Alligator mississippiensis: one gene and its partners. The protein of the gene in region 1 interacts with the protein of each later gene in a pairwise test. Links are inferred from orthologs where the notes say so. Each region holds a gene or a part of one and is shown in the gene's direction. Other genes may lie near its edges.

Region 1 (7,760 bases):
TTATTCCTAAACACTTTAATGGTCATAGAATTTCCTCTCCTCAACCATTCAACATGTTGCTGCCATACATCTCAGAATAGATCCATGTGCTGAAGTTACTGTAATGGTTTTCTCTCTTTTGCAGGCACTTGGAATATATGTAGAGTGAAGATCACTTTGCTGTTTGTTAATGTAATCCTGGACTAAAAAAAAAAGAATTCAGGGGATTTTTTTGATGTCTAGGTTTCAAAGAGAATCCTACAGGAAGAGTATGTGCAACGGATAATGTAGAGAGAGCAGCACAAAGGGGGTAAAAAGAGCAACATAAAAAGCATTTCTAGTAAGCAGCATGGAAACTAAGGAAGGCTTTTTTGTAATAATTTGGAGAAAGCAAGAAATAACATTCCCTGCTTATTGCTACTCATCATTCCTGGCCTCCTTGATTTTTCTCCTCTTTGTTTGTTTGTTTGTTTGTTTGTTTGTAGACAAGGAAATATGGAAACACTTCTGCTCCAGACCTCCCAGAAAAAAGAAATGCTAACAAGAGATGTTATAAGTGTCATTGGACCTAAAAAGTATGGAAGGTTCTCCTCCTACCTTTTTAATCAGTTTTTCAGTGTGTTCTCAGAGAATCTTTCTTGTCTCCCCAATTTAATGTGGGGTTCCACAGAACTCTGTCTTCTCTTCTCCTTCTGCACCTTTTCTATGGGTAATTGCAACTGAAACAAACACCGTTTCTCTGCTGTGACTCACAAATCTGACTCTACTCTAGACCTGTCTCCTCTCCAAATTAAAATTTCTTCCTATCTTTCTGGCTCCTTGTGGAATTCTAGCATACAGCTCAAGCTCCATATACATAAAACTAGCCAACTGCCCATCAAGAATGATGGGGGAGGGAGCAGGTGGGAATGGAGCCCCGTGTCATTCGTCATCGTAGTCCCTCCCATCTGGGCCCACTCCCCACTTCCCTCCTGCTGCTTGGGGCCCGGGCCTGATGCAGGGAAGGACTGGGGCCAAGGGTGGGGAGAAGCTGGGCTGCTGCAGCGGGTTGTGGGGAGCAGGGGGCCCGGGCTGACCCGGTGGCAGGGAGGAAACAGGAGAAGCGGGCTTGGGGCCAACACAGAGAAGTGGGGATGGGGGAGAAGTGGGTTGGGGCCCAAGAGAAGGAGGAGGCCCAGTCCTCCCCTCCCCCCACCACTGCTATGTTGGCCCAGGCCCACTGCTCCCCCCTCCCACCGCCATGGCAGGCTGGCTTCTCCACCCCCCTCAAGCCCTATCCTCCCCCACATCTCTGACATCAGACCCAGGCCCAGGCCTGCTTCTCCCCTCCCCCCACCACTGACGCATGGGCCTGGGCCTGCTTCTGACCCCCCCGCCGCCATGATGGGCCTCGTCCCCGCCCCGCACACCGGGCCCAGGCCCGCTCCTCCCAGTTCTGCTTGGGGTCTGGGACCACTGCCCCATTCCCCACCATGGCAGCACAGGGAGGGCAGGAGCATGAGCATATCCGCTCCTCCCTTCCCTGTCACCATGACTGGCTCAGGCCCACTACCCACCCACACCACCTGCCACTTGGGGTCCGGCCCACTCCACCAGCTCCAAGAGGCAGAGTGTGTGGGGTGGAGGCAAAAACAACTCCTTCCCCCGCACGTCACACCCACTCCTCCCCCCACCGCCACTGCATCAGCCCTGCAGGCAGCAACAATGGAAGCAGGGAGGGGCAGGCCAAGGCCAGTGCCGGTGGCCTTACCCTCCCATGGTGTCCCGACCCTGCTCCCTCTCCCCACACCACTGCCGCTGCCATTACCTCCAAGGAGGGGAGCAGGGAGCAGGGCAGGGGGAGCAAGGCCAGCAGTGCTGGCCTTGCCTCCCCCACTCTGTCCCCTGGGTCCCTACCATCATGGCGACAGGCTGCCATCTGTCCAAATGCTTCTTCACACTCTGGTTGACTGTTTGTCAGCCAATCAGAGCATGAATAAAACGTTACAGACAGACAGACAGACAGACAGATGGATAGACTTAGGCTTTTATAATACAGTAAAAGCTTTGTTATCTGGCACCCATGGGAAATTGGGGGTGCCAGTTAATCAAACATGCCAGTTATCTGAGAGTTATACTTATCTCCAGCCCAGCAGATTGGAGGTGCCTTTGCCTGTTTGGGCTGCCACCCCTCCTGCCATGTCTGATGCACCAGGACTTTCACTCCTTGGTGTCAGTGTGTTGGGGGACAGGGAGGGGGACCCACACAGGCTGCTTTGCCCCGGGCCATGGTCCATGAGGAAGAAGTGGGACACAGCTTGCGGTGGCAAAACTGGAAGCACCATGGTGGGACAGATGCCAGTTAATAGAGCATTCCAGATGGTAGAGTGCCAGATAACACAGCTTTTACTGTATTAGAATAGAGCTCTTAATCTTTTTCCTCTCAAGTTAACCATCCCCCGCCCCCAACCTTATAATCTGAGAATCATTTTCAACTTGGACCTTTTTCTAGGTCCTCACATTGAAGCATCATCTAAATCATGCAGATCTTTTCTTCATGTGGACTTAATGTAGTTGCCTCTCCACCTATGCATCTAAAACTCATGTGAGCTGTTGAGATCCTGAACAATGTAGTGAATGAAACATTTGTTTCCTTCTGGCTCTAGTACCTTGCACTGAATTTAGGAGTAAAGAGGATAGGTGTAGAAAGGAACAGTTTGGAAGAAGAACCAGGCAGCCAGTGTAGCTACATGCAGTTGCAAAGATGTGTAAAAAAGTTGCTTTTTTCATCATTTAAAGTGCTTTATTGCCATGATTTACCAGAAGTGCATGGCTTTACAGCACTTTAGAAATGGGTACAGTGCTTTAAATTAACCATTGTTAAATGAGGTATTAATGTTGAAGCGCTGTATTGTACAGCACTTTAGCAACGTGCTTTAAATAACTTCTGTAAGATGGTCAAATTTCTGACCAATGGAGAAGCTCCAGGAGGCTGCAGAGCCCCACTTTACCCCCAAACCTGGAAAGTAGGGAGAGGCTCCTCCCCTCCACAAACACTGCACTTCTGTCATGTTTAAGAGTCCTGTAACTTCATAGTGCTATAAAAAAGTGCACTTTTTACAGTGCTGTAAAACATGCATACATCATTTCTGTGCACACCCTCTATAAGTAGGTCTCTTAATAAAGAGAAAATTGATTTTTACAGGAATGAAGTCTTTGCCTGGGACGCCCACAGGCAGTGGTACATGAAGGGTGAAGCCTGGACAGCAGGCATCTTGCAGCACCTGTCCCTGCAGAAGGCCACTGCAAAGATCCTTTCCCTGACTGTCATCCCATCCCATCCCTCTTGTCTATTGCATAAAATGCCCCTTGTTCTGGAGACCCATCTACCTACCTATCCCCTAGTGAGTTGTTGGCTCGTTTTCACTGGGCCCCATGAGTCCAGCTCCCAGGAGCCACCTGGAAAGTACCCCCCCCCACACACACACACACCTGCAAAGTGACTGCAAGACCCCTCCCCCACCTTCAAAGACTCCCCTCAAACTCCCCTTCTCCATGGTGTCTACAGAGCACTGTACTGTGGCTACACTGCCAATGTGCTGCTGTTGCTGCCAGCTGTCCGGCCTGAGCACACTGCTGCCCTGTGCTGCCCCAGCCTTGTGTGTGAGTGACAGATGGGGGCACTGGTGCGTTGGGGGGGGGGGGGGGGAGTGTGTTTACGCGCCAGGGGAATGGGGCACGGCTGCCTTACACTGTCCCTTCTCCCTTTGGGAAGGCACGGGGCATTGCTGTCCTGCCCCTCTGCGTGTGTGCGGGACCATCCCGTGCCCTTTAGTTCACGCGGGAGAGGCTGAACTCTGAGGCAGGCGCTCCCTCCCGCCCGGCAGCGCGTGCCGGGCCCCCGGTTCCTGTCTGGAGCTGTCCCATGTTCCGCTGAGACGGGCCTGAAGGCTCAGACACGGGAGCGGGAGGAGACGGACCGAGGTCCCTTCCCAGCCCAGCGCAGCCCCAGGCTCCGCGTGACGAGCGCTGAGGAGCGGAGACATCCCGCGTGTAGCTCCGCCCCACTCCCCGGCCCCGCCCCCACCGCTTCTGGAACGCGCGGCGCGTGGGGCTGTTTTGTAATCGTCCCCCGACCCCCCCCCATCGCCATGCCGCCACCGCTCGCAGCCAATGAGAAGTGCGCCGCGCCGTCACGTGACGCGGCATTTTATGTAAGCCGGGGCTGGGGCGCGCGGCGCGGCGGTTCCGCGGAGACGTTTGAAAAGGGGACGACGGTGCGGCCCCGCCCTCCCCCTCGGTGCCGTGCGCACAGCAGAGCCTGGCGCCGCCCGAGGGGCTGTTACACCCCCCTCGCGCCGCCGCCTCAGCAGCAGCCGGAGCCGCTCCGCGCGCGGGGCAGCCGCAGCGGCCGGCGGCGATGGCGGGGCCCCCGGTGGCCGTGAGCTGCGAGGCGGAGCCCGAGCCCGAGCCGGGTGGCAGCGCGGAGGCGGGGGGAGAGCAGGAGCTGCTGCTGCGGCGCGGGGACCTGCTGGCGCTGGGCAGCCGCCTCAAGGAAGCGCTGGAGACCTACTCGGCCGCGCTGCGCCTCGGGCCGCCGCCGGGGCCGCGCCGCCTCGACACCCTCGTGGGCTGCCTGGTGCTGCACTACCGCCTGCGTCACGGGCTGCGCTGCGGCCGGGGCCGGCCCGAGGCGGGCGGCCCGCTGCGCTGCTGCGGCTGCCGGGGCTTCCTGAGCGAGCCGGTGACGGCGCCGTGCGGCCACAGCTACTGCCGCCGCTGCCTGCGCCGCGAGCTGTGGGCCCGCTGCCGCCGCTGCCGCGAGCGCCTGCCCGCGCCGCCGCCGCCGCGCATCAACGTCGTGCTCAACCAGCTGGCAGAGAAGTGGTTCCCGGCCGAGTGCGAGCGGGCGCGGGGCCGCCGGCGCCTGGCGGAGCTGCTGGGCCAAGGCCGCTTCCGAGAGGCGCTGGGCGCCGCCAGCCGCGCGCTGCGAGCAGGTGGGTAGCGTGGCCCCGGGCCTCGGGCTGGTGCCCAGCACCCCCCACGCACACACGCACACTGCCCCGTCGTGCCCAAGTCCGCCTTCCCCTCAGCGCTGTCCCCTCGTCTGAGTCCTTCTCCCCCGACCATCCCTGCCTGCCTGCACCCCCTTTCTCCTCACCACCATTGCTGACCTGTATGTCCATGCCCCTCTTCTCCCCCTGCTGCCCTCTCATGTCTGAGACCCCCCCACTTCTTCCCCCCCCCCTTGCCCCTGTCATGTCTGAGACCCCCTTCTCCCCCAGCCTATCACTGTCTCTCAAAACAGAGGGGCTTTCTCTGACAAGCCCAAGTTTTCCAGTGTTCCCAGACCTGGCCCTTCCCATGCTGCCTGCAGGCGCCACCGCCCCTTCTGGCTTTATGTAAAGGGATGCGTCTGGTGATTGGTGGTGTGGAAGCAGGGCTGGGGCAGCAGGGCAGCCAGGTGTCGTCTTGCACATCAGTCTCCCCCACTTCTGTGGTGGACATTGTTGGACAGTGGCTGTTCTATTTACCTTGTTTCCAAATTACTTTCTCTCTTACCGGTGTCACCAAGACAATTGCCAGCAGGCTGGGCCTAGTTGCATAAGCCGTCCGGGCATGGAGGGGGACAGGTTGTGTAATGCTGGTGACATCACGGGTGGGTGTGGCTGGTGTTTTATAATGTAGTGTTGGGAGAGGGCACAAGGGATGTTCCCTGTGAAGGGATGTTCTTGGATTATTATTTAGTGAGCACTAACAGTATGCTTGGCACTCTGTAAACATAGAGGGCATGGTTGACATTTCAAAGAGGTTAGTCTTGTTCGTGCGGGCATTTGGAATCTGTCACGATGAAGGGGATATAAATACCTAGACAAAGTCAGATTCCCCCTTGTAGCACTTCTGTTCCAGTGTGGGTGGCTAACTTCTGTGATATGCAGGTGTCTAATTTTCCATTTCAGTACACTTTTTTCCCTTAAACTGATTGTGGTGCATCTAGAAAGGAATTACTGGTAATGCTTAATATGCTGCATTTTCCTGCCAGCTGCAGGAAAAATAGAAGCATAGATTACAAACTGAGCAGTTCTATCTGACGTGACAAGCCTGTCTTCTGATCCAAACTGGGGAGATGCTAGTTTCAGAATAAATTGTCAACAAATGTAGTTTGTCTTCAGATATGTTTTAGAATATTTCAGACCTGTAATTGCAGTAGTTGGTTTAGGTGGGAATTAAAAAGGGTGGGGTCCAATTTTACTTTTGGACTAGGAATTTGTTGAAAATTAGAAAACATTTTATTCATATTCTAGAACTTAGCATCAACTCCTATATGTATGTCACAAAGAAATGAAGTCTTATCTAAATGGGTTTCCCATAGTAGTTTGGATTATCCATGATTAATCATAAGCATAAAGTTGGAAGTTAAACAGCTTCAAGTGTTTCTGGTCTCTAGTTTGTTTGTTTTGTTTTGGTTTGGTTTTGGTTTTTTGAGGGACTAAGAACATTTTTTTTTTTTTTTTTTTTTTTTAAGGCAACCAGAATTTTATACAAAAAGTTTAAAGTAAAAAGTGTCTGCAGAGGTCTCTTCTAAAGCTAGTAGTATCAGTTATGGTTCTGATTTCGCCATTAAAACTTGAGGCTTCTGTGGAGAGAGTTCTTTTGTTGCAAAATTTGTTACATTTAAGGTTAGGCTTAGTTAATTCTGGTTAAAATTTGAAAATAAGCTTTCAGGCCTGATACTTATCCATAATTTTGTTATGTGCAATTATGTAAATATTAAATCACAGGCTTATGTAAGAAGCAAGGATTTTGGGGGGTGATATCTTTTCTTGGGCCAACTTCGTGGTTAGGATAAAGCTAGACAAGCTTTCAAATTCAAGGCATTCTTCGTACTTATTCAAAAGCTTAATATCTCTTGTTTGTTGCTTGTTTTTTGTGTGTTTTTTTTTTTTTCTCCCTCTCCATAGCACGGAGAAATATTCATGTTTCAAGCCCTGAGGGCTTTTGTAGTTTAAAGTTGTTACTTTTTTAAATACCAGTGCTGATGTACTGGAAGCCTTAAGGAGAAATATATAACTACTGTTGTTTTAACATAAATTTAGAGACTTTCAGATTTACTGATCTGTGACTATATAATGATGAAACATTGTTGTAAAGTAGGCAAATGCACAAGCTGGTTACTGTGCATTCTGGGCTGCTTGGAAAGGAGGAGAGAGCATCTATACACACAACAATTTATTCTCTTGCTGTTTGTATTTGTTTTAAGGAAGCTTTTTTTCCCTATCAGCCCACCTCTGTTCTGTTTTGTACAAACCTACATAAACTTATTTGACGTTGTCATGAATTAAAGGCTACCACCATATCCTTATTCAAATAACATTTTTACGAACTTTTTTTAGTGGAAGGGGGAGTTAATTTAATGATAAGCTTGGATGTTTGCCTTGGTATGAAAATAGCTTAAAATGTGAGAGAGGTTAGCTGTTGTGTTGGTAAGTTTTTACAGTGGAATTCTGATTCCTACATTAGAATGGAAGTGGATGTACTTAAACAGAGGCTGTTAGATTCAAATCCAGATAAAAATATTTTGTGTATTATTTGTCTTAAATACTTGCCCTGCTTTCCTTCCCAACATGCACAATTAATGGATTTGCTCTCATATCATTAAGTAAGTTCACTGAAATCATAGAATCATAGGGTTGGAAGGGACCTTGAGGACCATCTGGCTCAACCTCCTGCAGAAATGCTGTTCCTAAATCATGCCTGACCAGTCACTGCTTATCCAACCACCTCTTGAAAAAATCAGCAGT
Region 2 (8,854 bases), on another chromosome or scaffold:
CAGAAAGGGAGATAAACAGAAGCAAGAGACCTTTAGACAGGTGGGAGTCAGAAAAGAAAAGAGATAGGAAGCCAGGGAGTCTTACGCTCAGGATCACCCCATGTAGCTCCAAGCGAGCCTGGGCCAAAGCATCCAAAGTGGAAGGAAGGAAGGAAGGAAGGGAGACAGACAGACTTTTAAAAAAGGAAATGAATAGGATAAGCTGTCAGCTAAAAAGTTGAGTTGAATTCAATGAATTAATACTAATAAAGGTTCAGTAAAAATAGTCTTTCCTAAGTCATCTAAGTTAAATTGAAATTGTATTCTTGCAGGACTTAATACCTCAACCTTTTTATTGTTCTTCCATGCTAATTTTGCTTGAGAACTGGGGATCCAACACAGTATCAGAGTAGCTAGGGTTGGAAGGGATCATCCAACAGATCATCAAGTCTGACCCTCTGCCTTGGGCAGGAATAGATGCTGGGGTCATATGACCCCAGTCAGGTGTCTATCCAGCCTCCTCTTAAAGACCCCCAAGGTAGGAGTGAGCACCACTTCCCTTGGAAGTTGGTTCCAGGTCCTAGCCGCCCTAACTGTAAAGTAATACGTCCTGATGTCTAATCATGCAAGTGGCCCTCTCTGGACCCTCTCAATGTTAGCCACATCTCTCTTGAAGTGCGGCACCCAAAACTGGACACAGTACTCCAACTGCGGCCTGACCAATGCTGCATAGAGGGGGAGGCTCACCTCCCTGGACCTGCTTGTGATTCATCTGTGGATGCATGACAAGGTACGGCTAGCCTTACTGACAACTTCCTCACTTTGGCGGCTCATGTTCAACCTGGAGTCAACAATGACTCCAAGGTCCCTTTCCACCTCTGTGCTGATGAGAAGGATGTTTCCCAGCCTATAGGTATGCTGCTGGTTCCTTCTCTTTAGATGAAGTACCCTGCACTTGTCTGCATTGAATTCCATCCTATTCTCATCTGCCCATCTCTGGAGTACAAAGGAGTACATCAAAGGAGTACAAAAAGCACGTGAGGGCTCTAGCATGAATGTGCCTCTGTGAAGCCAATGGGAGCTATGGGAACTTTGCAGGGTAAAGCCCATGAATTGGGGAAACCAACAAAATCATAGTTTAACTGCTGTGCACTTTCATCATTAAGTGGCCTCTTGGCCAAACCATGTTGCTGAAAAACTGTAATTTTTGCTCTGGCAAAAGGAGCGATTAGATGTTTTAGTATCTGCTAATGGTGAACAAACGTGGATAAAAAAGAATGGGTCAGTCTCTAAACCTGCTGCATATCAAAGCAAAGGTCTTAAGGCAGTGTAGTCTATACACAGAGTATAAGAAACAAGAAAATGAAAGAAGATTGGAGAAGCAGCATATAAACAGGGTAACAGAAAAGGTATCATCACTGGCATATCACAATGTAGAACAATAAAAGATGATGAAGATAAACAGTGAAAAATATATCCGAAGACAAAGACAAGAGAAATAATGCAGCAGAGAAGGAGAATGTATTACAGAGAATCAAAGAATGGGGAATCTTGGTCAGAATGACAGGCATGAAAGATGGCTAGAAAGCGGGGAAATAAATATCCAGGAGTTGGTTGCAGCAATCAAATCTTGTCATATCAAGATTTTGCTTTGATCTGAAACTTGACACGTAAGATGAGTAGCTGCTTTTTTTTCCCTTCTTTTTTAAAATATCTATTTAGGAATATCTGAATTATAAGACTGAAAAAAGCAGCAAGCATTAGTATTACAAGATATGCTTTCATGCTCATGGAATTCAAAAGTGTTTTAATTTTCTAAATTAAATATGCACAAAGAAGAGAAAAGAAAGCTTAGCCATCAAAGGAACCTGGGGAAATAAAATGTAAAAACCCACAGCTACTAAAGGTCTGAGTATTTGCAATAAATTATTTTGCTCAAATATTCTAGAAAGATTTTTCATACACAGACGTAGTACTTCTACTTCATTGACACAATAGCCCATAACCATTCCAAAGGCTCTATTATGGTCCATCATGTAAATGGCCGCCTATAATGACTGAGCCATTATGGTCTATTGGGCTATGGATCAGGGAATTAAAAATTCTCTAACTAGAGTAGGTTTTGTGCATATAGGCTCTAATGGCTACAAAGGAGCTGTTACAATAAAGTATGCCAAGATGCGTGCCTTAATAATTCCCAAATTAGGCATTAACCGATTAACCCAAGCTAATGAATATTTTGCATTTTAAAGAAACTCTTAATTACCTACAGTAAGTACAGTGATCACCATTAAAAGCCAACACTCACCAACAGCTACCATACAGTGGTCACTCTTATTTTCAGTTTTGAGTTGAGGAATAAAGTACTCAACCCTAAATGCAACTGCGTGGTAACTGGTGTCAATAGTTTTGTAGTAATCAGTGTATCAGTCTGTTAGTGTGTGATGCTTAGAGGCTTTCAAGTGAGGCACCAATACAATTTTAATGTTTTAAGTTAACTTTTTCCCTTATGTTTTCCTTTCCACTCCCTAAGGTAAGTAAACAGTATAGTTTAAATTTGAGAAGATAAAGATTTATAAATGTCTGAAGTGGGCTAATACAAACCAATGAGCACAGAATCTGTGAAAAATGCTGTATCACATTGCATTGATGTAATCTCAGTGAAGTTAAAAAAACTCTATGCCTAAACTGTTGGAGACTACCATGAGAGAGGGTTGGCGCCAGTGCAACCCTGTTATATCACTTTCAGATAATTCCTTTGGTCAGTCCTTAGAGGAGAGAGTGCAAGACATTGTTCAAGAGAAACCCATTGTCTTATGAAAGCTTGGCAGTGCTTGGCTCTACAGGGATGCTTTTGCAGTAATTACTGACTAGGAAGATATGTGACTATCACACAGCTTCACATATAATCAGTTTAAAATATTTTCCTGTTCTCCCCGCCTCACAAACCTGCCTCTTTCAAAAAGGTACATGGCTTATCTCTTTGGAAAATGTGGATCCCACTTCTGAGGTATGGGGATCATAAGCACTGATCTCCTTCATCACGCTGCAGTGCAATGCTGTATAGTGGCAGCTAGTCTACCATGGGAACCAGAAGGAATATAGCTGCATCAGTACAGGTTAATCTATCCTGGTCAAATCCCTCAACAAATATCAGCATCAATGGACAGTCTACCTGAGAGGATTTAATCCTCCCAAAATAATAATCTAATTAACAACCTCTTTGGCACTTTGGGATGGCTGGGAGTGAGGTGCTCTGGTACAGTCCTGTTGAAATTATTCCACTTTCCATTATATCATGCACTAGGAAAAGAGATGGAAAATGACTACAGTCACATAGATCATTCTCAGAGAGAAGGAGAGAGCAGGGTTCTAGCCCCTGCTCTACTAAATATTTAGCATAATATAGTGAAATATTCAGTAAGGTAAAAACTTGAACCCAAGGTTTTCCTTTGTCCTGTGAGCCCCTGACTTACCTATTTTATGCTAAATATTCAATAGAACATAATTTTCCCTGCTGAGTATCCTAACTAGTAGGCAGAGGTATCATACTCACTTTCTTTCCTGCTCTTCTAGCACAGTAATTTTCATAGAGGGGCCATATCAGTGACTCCATGGCTAGTTTGGAGAAGTCTGATACAAAAGGTGTACTCTGAGAATGACTACTAGTGAGAGAAGCAAAGGAACTTGTAGTTCATGAATGCTGATTTATGCCTAAGATAGGTGCTGACTGAGCCACTTGTTATTGTCAAGCCTGAGGTGTTCTTGGGCATGCCCAGAAGAAGACTTTTAGGCTTCTAGGAAGCTTCAGTACCAGAAATATAGGTACTTTCACATTGTAGGCAACTCAAAAGTTAGAAAGCAGCTGAGCAGTATTTTGGAGAATCTATATTTTAAGCTTTGGTGTCTAAAGTTGCACCTGAAATGTAGCTATAGAAACGTGCATGCAAGCATTTGAAACAAAGTGCTGTAGATGGCTCTTAAAGATACTCAGCTTATAGTGTCAGCTCATAGTTGAGCTGATTCAGGTATTCAGCTCATAGCTGAGAACTGATATTACAGCTGATGTTGGAAAATATAAAATTTTGGTTTGACCACATTATAAGACATCCTGCTTTGGCCAATAGAATACTTAAAGGAGAAGTGAATACAAGGAGAAAAAGAAGCTGGCCAAGGAAAATGTAGATACATACTATTACTGAGGCCCTGGAGAGATTTTACATGCAAGACATGATTAACTGGTTAATCATGTCTTAAGTAGTGACCTAGCCACACGTTCAATAAATTAATAGCATGATAAAATCAGGAACAAGCCACAAAATGATTACATAAAATATGTGTAATAATTTTATGGGTGGTTCTTTTTATGCCTTTAATTGCATGTGTGGCCACTGGCCAGCCTCTAGTGCACATGGGAGCCTGTCAAGACTCTTGTATGCTCCAGACACTGGGAGGCACCTCAGCTGATTGGGGCTCCCAGCCTGGAAGTGCACCATGTACATGATGTGTTGAAGCCATGCTTGCTACTTGCTGAGGCAAGGGGAGCTCTGGTTCAGGCTCCTCCTCCACTGGCAACATAGCAAAATGGGATCTGATGCACCTCCTGCCACATACATGTGACACGGCGGAAAGTAAGTTGTGGTATTATTCTTGGATCTAGGCCAATAGAAAACAAATTTCAAAATAAGGCATTGAATGAGCTCTTGAAATAAATGGGGATCATACAAATGGATAAATGCTGAAAGTGTCTCCTCTGCAAAAGCAGATAGCATTTCTTTTATCATGTATTCCTTTTGAAGCTATTTAATCACTGACTGAAAAGGACAGGGAGAATCTGGAAGTAGGTGAGGTAGAAAAGTAGAAACCAACACTGCTTTGTTTCTTAGGGTGTATCAACAGGTCACCTGCCCTGAGAAAGAGAAGACTCCATAAAATGTCTTTCTCCCACCACGAAGGAAGCAAGCGAAAAGTCTCTATGTTCTCTCTGTGGTAAGGTGGAATTAAAATTTTCATCAAAACCCCAGGGATTCTTTGGCACACAAGAAATTCTGGGGCATGTGATTTGAATATGTAATATTTTGCACATATTAAATATGAACTTGAACAACCAGTGAAATATTAATTGTTACTTATTTTTATATCAAATTCATTTTATTTCACGCTGCTTCCAAATTTTCAACATGTTCCAGAATTCTACATAACTTGCATTGGCTGTTGGGGCAATACGTGAATTTGCCAGCTTAGATATACTAGTGTTTAGTGCCAGTGGAAGAAACCTGAAAGGCAATGCTTAGCAACTGTGATATAAAAAGATAATCAAGTGAGTAATGTACATGTGCAAATATGGCCATGTTCATGCCCTTATTTGGAATCTCTTTGTGATGTCACTATTAGTCTCTAACCAGAGAAAAAAAATCCACCTCTCCTCCAAAGCACAAAGCTTTGAAGAGGGGAGTGCTGCTGTGTAACATAAAGTGAGGACACGCTGAAAGGCTTGGCAAGTGGTCTTCTAAGTGTCTTACAGGGTGATGGCCAGGACTTTATGCTTATGTTGCTTATTTTGGCCATGTTGTCCAGGCTGCCATTGCTGTCCGCCGATCTTAACAAAAGAAGAAGAATGCTGCTTATGTTGGCGTTTTTTATTTACTGAAGAGCGGAATTGCAACTGTTTTCCCTGCGCTTACCATGAAGATCGATCTTGCCAGTGTTGCCATTGCACATGTTCAGAGAACCCAAATTGTATTTGGTGCTGCTGCTCTTTCTCAACTGATGAAGACTGTAAGTGTTGCTGCTGTGCCACCGATGAGAATACCGTTTGTCAGTGTTATGAAAGCACATGCTGCAGAAATGTTGCCCATTCACCATACCATCCAAGAATCCCAAGGAGAAATCAGTAAGTGAAACCAAAGCCTGTTTTTGAAATTCCTTCTTTTTAAATTTATATTATGGTCTATTAGCTCTGTGGAATTTAGGGGCAAAATTTTGGGCACCTTTTTCTCAAGGTGTTAGACATGGCTGGAAATAGTGATAATGCCAGACTGAGCCAAACCAAGAAAGAGGAAAGGAAAAAGTGTGGAGTATTCCAAGAAAACAACAAAGTAGACTACTAAAGAGAGTAAAGTGCTAATCAATTGTAAATGAGGGAAAGGATTATAGTTAGGGGGAAGAGAAAGAGGAAGAAAACCAAATATATTTTTTAAAAAGTGCTCTGAAGAGAATTGGAAGAAGAAATAATATTACAAAAAAAGTATTACTAATTTTAGAGATTCATCTGAAGAGCATATATTAAAATGGAGACATAACTACTGACTAAGGCAGGCTGAGGATGGAGGAGGATTGCTCAAACATGGAGGGATACATGACTGTGTCAGTGCTTTTTTCTGGGACTAAAAATCCTGGAGGTTCATAGTGAGAATGTCTTACTCCTCAACCCAGGGTCAGACTAATCACCACATTTGAGATCAGAAAGGAATTTTACCATACAGCTCAGCATGGGCACTGCATGTATGTGGAGTGGATGGGGGTTACCTCCCTCCATACCTCTTTCTATAGCAGGGACCATAGGCCCTCTTCCTTGGATCCGTCTTGTGTTTAACAATTACTTCCTGTGCTTGTTGTGGCAGGATACTGACAGTGCCCTTTGTCCCCGAGCTTTACCTGTGGCAAGTGAGGCAGTTTGGGGATTGTGTCTGTTAGTTGTGCATGATGTTTTTTACGCAGTTTTAAGAATAGCTTATGGAGACAGTTGGTCACAGTTTTGAAAATGAATAGTGATTTTTGTGTACCTGACTGGAGACATATTAAAATAGCCTTGACTTTCAAACTATAAATGGTCAACATTTCTGAAAACTGGGTAACTTTGTGGCATTCCAAGCTGTGTATCTCAAGTGCAAGAAAACTTACAAGCAACTTTTGATAGTCTTAACCCTAAAAATCTAGAACCAGTACCCAGGGTCACATTGGAAGGCCAATTCTTACCACCCTCCTAAATAAAAAGAAAGCTGTGCATGAAAATCAGGAGATGGAAGATAGGCAAGGGGTTTTCTTTTCTTCTCCACTGTATAGTAAGTTTACTGACAAATGCAATTCCAGACAGACCAAACCTATAATTAATAAAAAAAGTTGAAAATGTTAAAAAAAAGTTTTGATATTTTTTAATTAAAGCATGTATTTTAAGAAATAACTCTCAATTTAATACTTTCAGAATGAAACATTCTGACTTTTACTTTCAGCAAAACATTCTTCATTTAAAAACTGACAACAATAGTAATAATAAAATGGAGTATTTAAAAAAAAACAACTAGGATATCCTGAAAATGATACAAACCAATTCATTTCAGGTTGAAAGAAAAAAAATCATGCAAAACATTTCAATTTAAATCAAAACATTTCAGGTTTTCCCATTTTAAAGCAAAAATAATCCCAAAATGCTGGGAAATCCCAAAATGAGGGAAAAAATATTCTTTAGGTTTTTTCCTCCTGCTTGCTATCCAAACCTCCCAGAAATCCATTATTCTGCTCATTCCCAATGAACTATCTGCTTATTGCATATTCTGTTTCCTGTCTATCTATTTGTATCATATCTTTATAAAAATGTAACGAAATACACAGGTTATAAATAAGGAATAAGAAAACAAAATGCAGATGTTTGTTTGTGTTAGTTTGTGTAATGCTTGCAATATAAATGCTGGAACTGAAATGGATAGTTTCATACGTATTGGCTAAGTAGAGACAGTCAAAAAGCTTATTCATAAGTATTCACTGGGGGAATAGAGGATCATACCCATATTTAAAGTGTAAGATATCTTCAGTAAATAATGCAAAGCTATATATATATATTACAGCCTGTTTCTTAATGAACATTTGGAAGCTGAGAAGATCTTGTTTCTTTCTTTTTCAGTTCAAGGCTGTCTTTACCAGGCCCTGGAACTACAAGTGATACATCTGTCATTACACTGGACAAGGATGTCTCAGGGCATAGTTTTCGTGATCAACTCACCTGTCCAGCGTGTAAACAACTGTACCTCCACCCATTTATGCTTCCCTGTAAACATTGTGTTTGTGGGGATTGCATAGGTAAAAGGAGGGCCAAGGCTGAAGTGTCTGAGAACTTTTTCATTCTCATATGCCCAGTGTGTAACAAAGCACATTGCCTTCCCTATTCTAATAAAATTCAGCTGAAGAAGAATTTACTGAGAGCCAAACTGGCTAAGAGATATATGCAGAAACATGGCCTTATCAGGTGGAGATTTGACAGAACTCAGACATCAATTTATTGTCAAGCTTGCAAAGAGAAGAAAAGAAAGGCATCCAAAAGATGTCTGACATGTCAAATGAATTTTTGTAAAGAATGTCTCAGTTTATATCATAGAGATGATTCTGCTCAAGAGCACATTTTTACCAAAGCCTATCAAGAAGATCAAGAACAGTCAAACTGTTTAGTACATTCCAGTTCACCTATCTCTGAATACTGTGTAGATGACCATGAGCTAATCTGTGACTACTGCAAGAACTCACTGCACAGTGACCATGAGACATTGCCCTTGATAGTGGCATGCTCAAGGGAGGCTGGTGCCCTCTTCAATGCTATTGCAAAATTTAAAAAAGGTTCCTATTTTTCTTTTCCACTTATTTACACTTATTGAATATTTTGCTGCATATCATATAAATGGTAGAGAGACACTCAAATATGATTTCCAGTGCCCAACTGTTCTCCATTCTCCTGAAGTCAGAAGGAATAAAAAGCTGGTGGATGGTCATGGGGAGAGGTAAAAAGGGTCCATTTTCAGCTGTGTGGCATCACAACACAGGACCCAACAAAAAGCCCTCTGAAGGAAAAAGGCCTGCATGAGAATCTGTAGGATCCAGAGACCAA
Region 3 (8,091 bases), on another chromosome or scaffold:
GACTGCCCTAGACAGGGGTGGGCCGGCACTGCAACTGGCCACATGATCTTTCCCCTGTCACTGTGGAGCCGGAGATCTTGGTGATTTTTGTCCAGGAAAAAATCATGGGACTCGCTGTTCACTGTAGCATGTTCCCTTGAAATGCAAAGTACTTTATAACGATGTAATTAAATGCATTAGCTACTTTATTTACTTCTACTCCCTAGGCACATCTACATGAGATGTTTACTGTGGTTGCCTAATTAGCTCCACAGTAAACTCTGTGTCTACATGTGTGGCCACAGGAAAATAATAAACATTGCTATAGTACTTGTCAACACAAGTACTATCATGCGGCAGTTATTTTCTGCACAGCAATGGATGTATTAGACTATTAACAGGGCTGGCCAGGGCACAAGGGTGCTTCAGTGTGGGAGCAACCTCCTGGCTACCCTCACACTGGAGCACCTTTGTACCCCAGCTAGCTCCTTCACAGCACATGGAGTCAGGTTGGAGCAGCCCTGGGTTGGCAGGCTGACCCCCTGTGTCTGCTCCAACCTGGCTCAAAGTAGAGCAGTCCTGGGCACGCATGTAAATGCGGTGCCTGGGAGCAATCAACTTTGGTGTGAACTGGGCCACAGTTTATTCAGACACACCTCGAGTAGCAGTCACTCTTATGCATGCTTTTTACACATGTAGGCTTTAACTGTGTTAGGAAAAATGGGAGGTGTAATTCTTCCCCAGGTATTCTTGTGCAAATTTATAGCAATGTACTCTTTCATCTCTGTCTAGGCTTCTTAACTGTCCTGGAACTTTGGAGTTCCATGATACCCGTTCTGTGCATCTTTATACAGGAAGAGAAACATATGGCCCACAGCGAATAACATGTTTTTGCAGAATGTTAATTGTACTAAGTGTAGTTTTCAAAATCTCACTTGCAACTTACTCAAGATTTATAACAGGATCCTCATAATAGTATAAAACTGTCTCTTATTGCTCATGACAGATGAAAACATAAAGAGGAACCAATTTTTGTATAATTTCAAAATATTTTTGTAATCTGACAATTTGAGATGATCAGTTTAAGGACATTATTGGAAAAAAAAATAAAGTACACTTGAGAGGGTTAATTCCTACTTATCTGTGTCAAATCTGATAGGGCTTTAATAGAGGCAGGAAATAGAGAAGGAAAAATAAATCAAGCAAATGAGAAGAGCCACATTCACTTTTTTTGTATTTTCCTGGATTTGTATAACTAACTAGAATGAGCTGTGCAATACTCTTTCAACTCTTTCTTACAGCTGAAGTACTAAAGGTATTTTATTAATATAATAATGTCATTTAAACAGCCTATTTGTAAAAACAACAAATGTCCATGAGCAATTATTGTGAAACATTGCTATTTTGCTTATGATTTTCTTTGTATAAGGTGGTACTGGAGTGTTTATAGCAGAAGAGGCTAAAATGGAAGTCCCATTAAATTTTCTTAGGAATTCAAAGGATAGAAATAATTTCTTACCATCAATTAATGGTGAAATGTATTAGACATGAAAACTGAGCCCTCCTTTTAAATGGTGGCTATCTTGCCCTCGGGCAGGCTAACAATCAGTTTAGTATGATTTGTTGACACTGGCTCCATGTAGGCCTTATCTAAAGAAGCTACCATGTTGGTTCAATATTACAAAAAGAACATGAACATATTGGCACGTCAGCATTTCAAAATGTTTTGTGTCAATGTGTTTGAGACCTGCTTTTTCAAATGATAGCTACCAACATTGAAAGTTTTGTTTCCTGAGTATGCTAATTTAGTAGACCCCCTATTACAAAGCACCCATAGAACGTGTCAAACTTTGTCTTAAATGAAAAATATTGACTTTTAATGGAAAAACCCCAAAAGCAAATATATTGAATGAAACCTGAAATAATTTAATTAGCAAATGTTGTCATGGTTCCTCCTGTTCACATTTTCCTTTGTAGGCAGGATTCTATGACATACCACAGTCTTTGCTTCTGATAAGAAGAGATGATGAATTATAGGAGTCTCATGACTGCTGGGTCCACCTGACCATGGACAGGCAGCAATATGAAGCAACTGAATTACACACCTTAGGAGACAATGTCATATTAGAATCAAAATATATTGTTTAAAATGTTTGTAATATTGGCCATAAAATAAAAACTTTTGTGAATTTGGTTATCCAGTTTTTTATCTAAAGATTGAAATCTTTGATAGAGGGAAGATGCTTTAGGGGAAAGATATTTTAGTCACAAACCCAATTTTCTGCTGACAAACAGATTTGGCACAGAAGCAGAGAAACTATTCAACTCATGAACAATGCATGCCCCTGGTGGCTGTGGGGACACAGTTGTGGCGGGAGTGCAGCAGCAGCGTTGGGAGTGTGGCGGTGGTAAGCACGGAGCTCCCACAGACACCGCTGGTGCTGTCAGTGGTGTGGGGGTGGTAAGCACTGACCAGGGGTTGGTGACTACCTGCAGATGCTGCCGGCAGTGGCGGTGGCTGCCCTCAGGCATCGCTGACTGCCCACAGGTGCCACTGGTGGTGTCAGTGGTGAAGGGGTGGCAAGTGGTGACCGCCTGCAGGTGCTGCTGACGGTGTTGGCGGCGCCTTTTCATAGAGGGTGCACCGCCACGCTTGGGAGGGTGCACGTGCACTCGCATGCGCTCACTACACGTTGCCAGTGATTCAACTGCTGGTTCCTGGTATATGGTTTGAAGATGCTCTTATCAGAGCTTAAGCATAGGTAGTTCAGAGCTACACTTGGAGCAGGAATTTAGGCAAGCAAAAACAGAACCTGAACTGGGAGCACAGCAGAAGCCAAGCTCAAGGCAGTACTCTAGAGGTAAAGTGAAGGCTTGGCCTTAGCAATTTTCTCCTGTGTCTAAAGAAGACCCATTAAACACAAACATGGCACTGATCTTGTTGCTGCTTTCATGGCTGATTCCTGAGGAAGGAGTGTGGTTAAGTTGAGACCAGGTTTCTTGTGAGCCATTTACTCAACCTGGTGATCTCATGCTGATGGTCTGGGTATACAGATATGGTACTTGCTCATGACAGCTGTAGGAGACAGCAAAGAAGTAGCTAGCTATACCTCTGCCATTTGTGCTCAAGATTGAGGGTGGGGAGGGGTGATTCCCCAAAACCTTTCCTGAAGAACATATGCTTCTATCTTTTCCCCTTGTAATGTATATTAAACTATTTCTTCTAATGTTTACATTTCCCTGCCCTCCTGGAAATGCTAGTATTGGTACATAGTCTATGGAGACCCTGTGCATGTCTGGGAGCCACAAGGCAAAGCCTGTTTCCTTAGATTTCTTATCCCAACTGACTAAAGTACAAAAACACACACAAAAATGCATAAAAGCCTATCCTTCCACTGAAACCTATCAAGGCCCAAATGTGGGACAGCATGCACGGCAAAGGTTTAGATGCAAGCACCTAAAACATTCCTTCATGCAGGAAGCTGAAAAGTCTTTAGGACAGGTCCTGTCCTGCTCAGTCCTGTCAGTTGCATGTCTGACTTTTGATGTAAACCATTTTGAACAACAGGGCTAAGCATGCGTGGGGAGGGGCTGGAGAGGAGACATCAAGCACCCCATGAAGCATGAGGTCATGGAAGAGGCGGTGTGTGGAAAACTGGAGCATGAACTGTGAAGATCCAGGGAGGAATTCATGAGTCTTTCACAGCTGGGTTTTATGAAAACTGGATGGTGAGTTTTTCAGAAGCACATGCATGTGTGCACATGTGTGTTCACACACACACGATGCACATCCACATGTGATCATCAGGGATCCTGGTTTTCTCTGATTTAAAAAAAATCCCCAATTTTTGGGTTAAAGAAGTAACCCAAAATCCACATCTTCCTGTGATCAAACCAAAACACTAATCCATAGACATATATATATAGCGGTGTTTCAGTTTGATCACAGCAAAATGTCGCTTTTTCTAACCCAAAAATTGGGGATTTTTTTTAATCAGAGAAAACCAGGATCCCCAGTCATCATGTGTACACATGTGATGCATGTACACTGCATGACATGCACACACACTCACACATGGCATGCCTACACACGATGCACATACACACATGATCACGTATACACACACACATGTACAAGCACCTGATCATGTCCGTGTGCGCACACGCACGCTTATGTGTGACATCCCTTCCCCCTCCAATCACAAAACTGCCTCAATGCAAGCAGCATGCGCAGGCGTGTTGTGTGTGTAATGGTTTAGGTTCCGCAGTGAATAATGGTCTAACCCTTATCACTACAGTGTGCACACGCGTGTGGACATGGTGAGGTTCACTGACTTGCCTCCCTGCTGTTAGACACCCCGGAGTGGAGTCCACCTCTCCATGTACTCACCCTTTACAGGAAGGCCAGGACTGGGGCTCTTCCCTCCAACCCCCCTCCCTTCCCCAAGCCCAGCTGTTCCCTTGCTCTTCTCCCCCTGCAGGACCTGGAGCCGTCGGAACAGCGCCCAATAGCACAAGATTTGCCCCGGTCGGAGTCAGTAGAGCGGTCAGCGGCAGCTGAGCCTGCGGTACCAAGGCCTGGGGCCGCGAAGCTACAGGGGGCAGCAGAGAGCAGGGGCGCCCTCAGACGCGCAGGCTCCCTCTGTGACGTCACAACGGGGCTCTAGGCAACGGGATGCGGCGCGGAGTCTTCCCTTTGTGACGTCACACCCCGGTCTCTAGGCAACGGGATGCCAAACAGCTCGCGCCGGGCCAGGTGTGGGGGTGCTCGGGCGGCAGCAGCGGGCCCCTCGGGGCCAGGGCTGGGGCGAGCATGGCGCTGCCGCTTCTGCCCGGGAACTCCTTCAACAGGAACGTGAGTGACAGCCGGGCCGGCGGCTCTCCCCCGCCCCCTTCACCCCCAGTCCCCGGCCGTATTGCTCCCGTGCATGGTCACTGGAAGCTGCGGCGACCTGCTGCTTGCAAGGCCTGGCTTCTGGGACCTTGTCAGGCACAGGCAGGGTGCGCGTGTGACCTCTGGGGCAGGGGGGTCAAGGGGCATGGCGGCTTTCAGCACCAGGTTGGCCCCTGCTCGGAGGGGATCGCCGAGCCCTAGGGAAGCAGGAGGTTACCTAGCCCCGAAAGTCAAGGAAAGTCCCCGTGGGGGTGCTGCCATTGCTGGGTTGGTGCCCCGAGGACTGACTGAAGGTGTAAGTTCATTCCCTGCTGTGTTTTGTGGTCACGGATGCTGCGATGCTATTATGCAGGTTTGCTTGCAGCAGGGTGAATGTGAGAGACCGAATGCCTGCCTGTGTTAGGCTTGCAGCAGATCGCTTCTTTGGACGGTCAGGGAAGTAGGTGCAGATGAGATCCGAGGCGCCAAACATTCTGTTCATTGACGGGGGTGCGGTTGTCTTCGTTGAAATCTGTGGCAAAATTCCTGTCATGCATGGACTGGACTAACAGCAGATATCGAAAGCAGACTTAGCTTAAATTCTGGAGTTTGCCATCTTTATTGTATTATTCAGGAGGTGAAATAGGAGCAAGAACAAAGTATTAGTGTATGCGGGTGTGTGTGCACACGCACGCATATATATACATACACATATATACGCACAGTTAGCTATTTCAGTCTGAAGTCAGTGGGATGGCAAGGCAGAGTGGCACATTATAGACTTAACTATTTCAGTCTATTTTAGTCTATAATTAGGTAGCCTATAAGGTGTCACTCTGCCGTGCCTTGTGTCTGTTATATATTGTTCTATAAGCACTCAAAAATTGCTTTTGTTTTTAAGTTGGAAAAGGAAATGCTTGGCACACAGGGAAGAATTGAGGAACTTAGCAGCTTCAACTCTTGTTATTTATATAACAAAGAAGAAAAGGAAGACAAATACACTGTAAACAGAGAATGTTTCAGAGTTAAACAAGTTAGGGATAATAATCCACAAGTTTGTAGTGTAGGTGTAGTGCCATAAGTACTTTTGACAATTTGTAAATCTATAAGACAGTATTTTTACAGCAAATTGTAAAATCAGAGTTGTTTCTCTTGTCTTGTGACATCTAGTTTAGAATATTTTGTAAAGAACTGGCTGGTGTGTATGTGGTTCCTCAGGTACCTTAGTGATGGGCCATGCATGGAAGAAGCACAGCTTAACCTAGTTTCTGATAGATAATATCCTGTTTTTGGTTTTTGAGCAGGATGCATAGAGTTGCCCCTTAAATTCTGAATAGAATTTTTGACAGCTGTGAAGTTTACATAGTCACAAATCTGACATGGTACTTAGCTTTACACACTAGAGGTCTAGATAGGGGATGCATACAAATGGTGGATGTGTTCAAATGCACATATATAAGTAGGCCTCTTTCTGCAGTCTGTGTTGTGAATGTATATATGCACACACACAATGCATATATAGTTCTGACAACTAACGATACAAAAACCAAGTCCCAGTTATAACAGTGAAACCAGATTAGGCTATTATTCAGAGCTTTAGTTCATCCCCTATTGTTATGCTTCCTACAGTTTGAATGCTCGGTAGTTGTAGAGAGGCAGTTCTACCTCCTGCTTCTGCTGTTGGCTGTTGGGCTTAATTTTTATCCATATAGTTTCACAAATTAAAGTCCAAAGAGGCCATATTCAAACAAACAGATGCTAGAACTATTTGGACTATGCCTACCACAGCTGCCATAACTTTCTCCATCTTCACCATGAGAATGGTAGATGCAGAGCAGCAGCAGAAGCAGCAGATGTTTTAGATGTCTGGAGGGCATTGCTTTCATACCGTAGGATGGAAACAAATGACATTTACTGCTACTACAAACCCTACCACCAGGCTGTGGATAAAACCAGCAACAGCAATAGTACTTCCAGGACAGGAATGACTGGTCTGGTCTTTGCTGCTCTTGTCACCCCCTGGTTTATTATTACTGCTGCTTTTTATGCTATTCCTCTTCTTGTTGCTCTGTGTATTGTCATTTAGTACTGCTACCATCACTTTTGCTGGTGGTACTGTTATTTCACTTGCTAAGCCAATGTGAAGGTCAATAGGAATGGCAGAAGGAGAAGCTGAAAAGTCTATTTTCCCTAATCTATACATGCGTAATCAGGAAATTTGTTTAATTGGGATTTCTCTCAGTGGATCTAGTTGAACTTTTGTGACAATTATTGGCAGTGACTCTAGCCTAATGGCAATCGTGACTGTGCTTGTTGGGGCCTGCAAAATGATTTTCTGGTGCTTAGGGCTTTGCGTCTTATTATAGTTTGGGTTCTGTACTTTTTTAAAATCTGCCAACAGTGCTCAGTGTCTCCTTAGCCATGAGACAGGCTTCATCACTTCTTGCTTCTTATTTTCATATCAGCTGTACACAATAGTCTGCTAAGATAGACATCTCACAGCTGCCTCTATTGCTGGCACCATGTAGGCAGCAGGTTTTGTCTGTGTCCTACTGTAAATAGTGCCTCCTTCCAACTTGGCAGCTTCCCAGAAAGCAGTAATTACTACTGAAATGGCCTATTTTTGTAATTGGCAATTCTGTTTAATAGGGACAAAAATCCAGCTGACTTGGGCATCTCAATAAATTAAGTTCAATGATTATATACCATGCTGATGGGATACCTATTAAAGACTCCAAGTAGTTTGTCTTGTACAGCTTAGATTCGGATGTCCCTTTTTCACTGGGTGAAGATCATGGGTGGCAGGGGTGGGCATAGCAAAAGCAGTGCCAGTGTGAATGTTTTATTTGCTGCAGAAAGGAGGAGGATTACAGCAGGCAGAAATGGATCAGGAGGCATCCAGAGCATGACACACTCCCTGGGCACATCTACATGTTCATTTATGTGCAGTAGTTACTGCACATTAAATTTAGTACTTGTATAATCAAGTACTAAATTAATGAGCAATAACCAGTGTTACTGTGTAGTAGTGCTGGCACATGCCTTTTTAGTGATGCTACTGTGCAGTAGTCTAATAAATGTTGCAGAGTCACTTGGAAGGACTGGATGCGTTTAAGTTGGCAGGCCTGGATGAGCTCCATCCGAGGGTACTGAAGGCACTGGCTGATGTCATTGCACAGCCACTGGCAAGAATATTTGAGCACTCATGGTGCACGGGCCAGGTCCCGGAGGACTGGAAA

Evidence for each region.
Region 2: the proteins of LONRF1 (region 1) and TRIM42 interact in binary tests that used the Homo sapiens proteins (3 or more experiments, as listed by UniProt). The two-hybrid records come from large-scale screens. The link is inferred for Alligator mississippiensis from reciprocal best matches to the Homo sapiens genes LONRF1 and TRIM42.
Region 3: the proteins of LONRF1 (region 1) and EFHC2 interact in binary tests that used the Homo sapiens proteins (3 or more experiments, as listed by UniProt). The two-hybrid records come from large-scale screens. The link is inferred for Alligator mississippiensis from reciprocal best matches to the Homo sapiens genes LONRF1 and EFHC2.

Annotation. Positions count from the first base shown.
Region 1 is NC_081825.1:61,427,074-61,434,833, reverse strand, and holds the start of LONRF1 (LON peptidase N-terminal domain and RING finger protein 1), read left to right. Parts: upstream 1-4,173; 5' UTR 4,174-4,378; coding exon 4,379-4,955; intron 4,956-7,760.
Region 2 is NC_081830.1:46,934,025-46,942,878, forward strand, and holds the start of TRIM42 (tripartite motif-containing protein 42), read left to right. Parts: upstream 1-5,395; 5' UTR 5,396-5,507; coding exon 5,508-5,872; intron 5,873-7,879; coding exon 7,880-8,586; intron 8,587-8,854.
Region 3 is NC_081824.1:302,538,412-302,546,502, forward strand, and holds the start of EFHC2 (EF-hand domain-containing family member C2), read left to right. Parts: upstream 1-4,632; 5' UTR 4,633-4,792; coding exon 4,793-4,834; intron 4,835-8,091. UniProt on the Homo sapiens protein: Microtubule inner protein (MIP) part of the dynein-decorated doublet microtubules (DMTs) in cilia axoneme, which is required for motile cilia beating.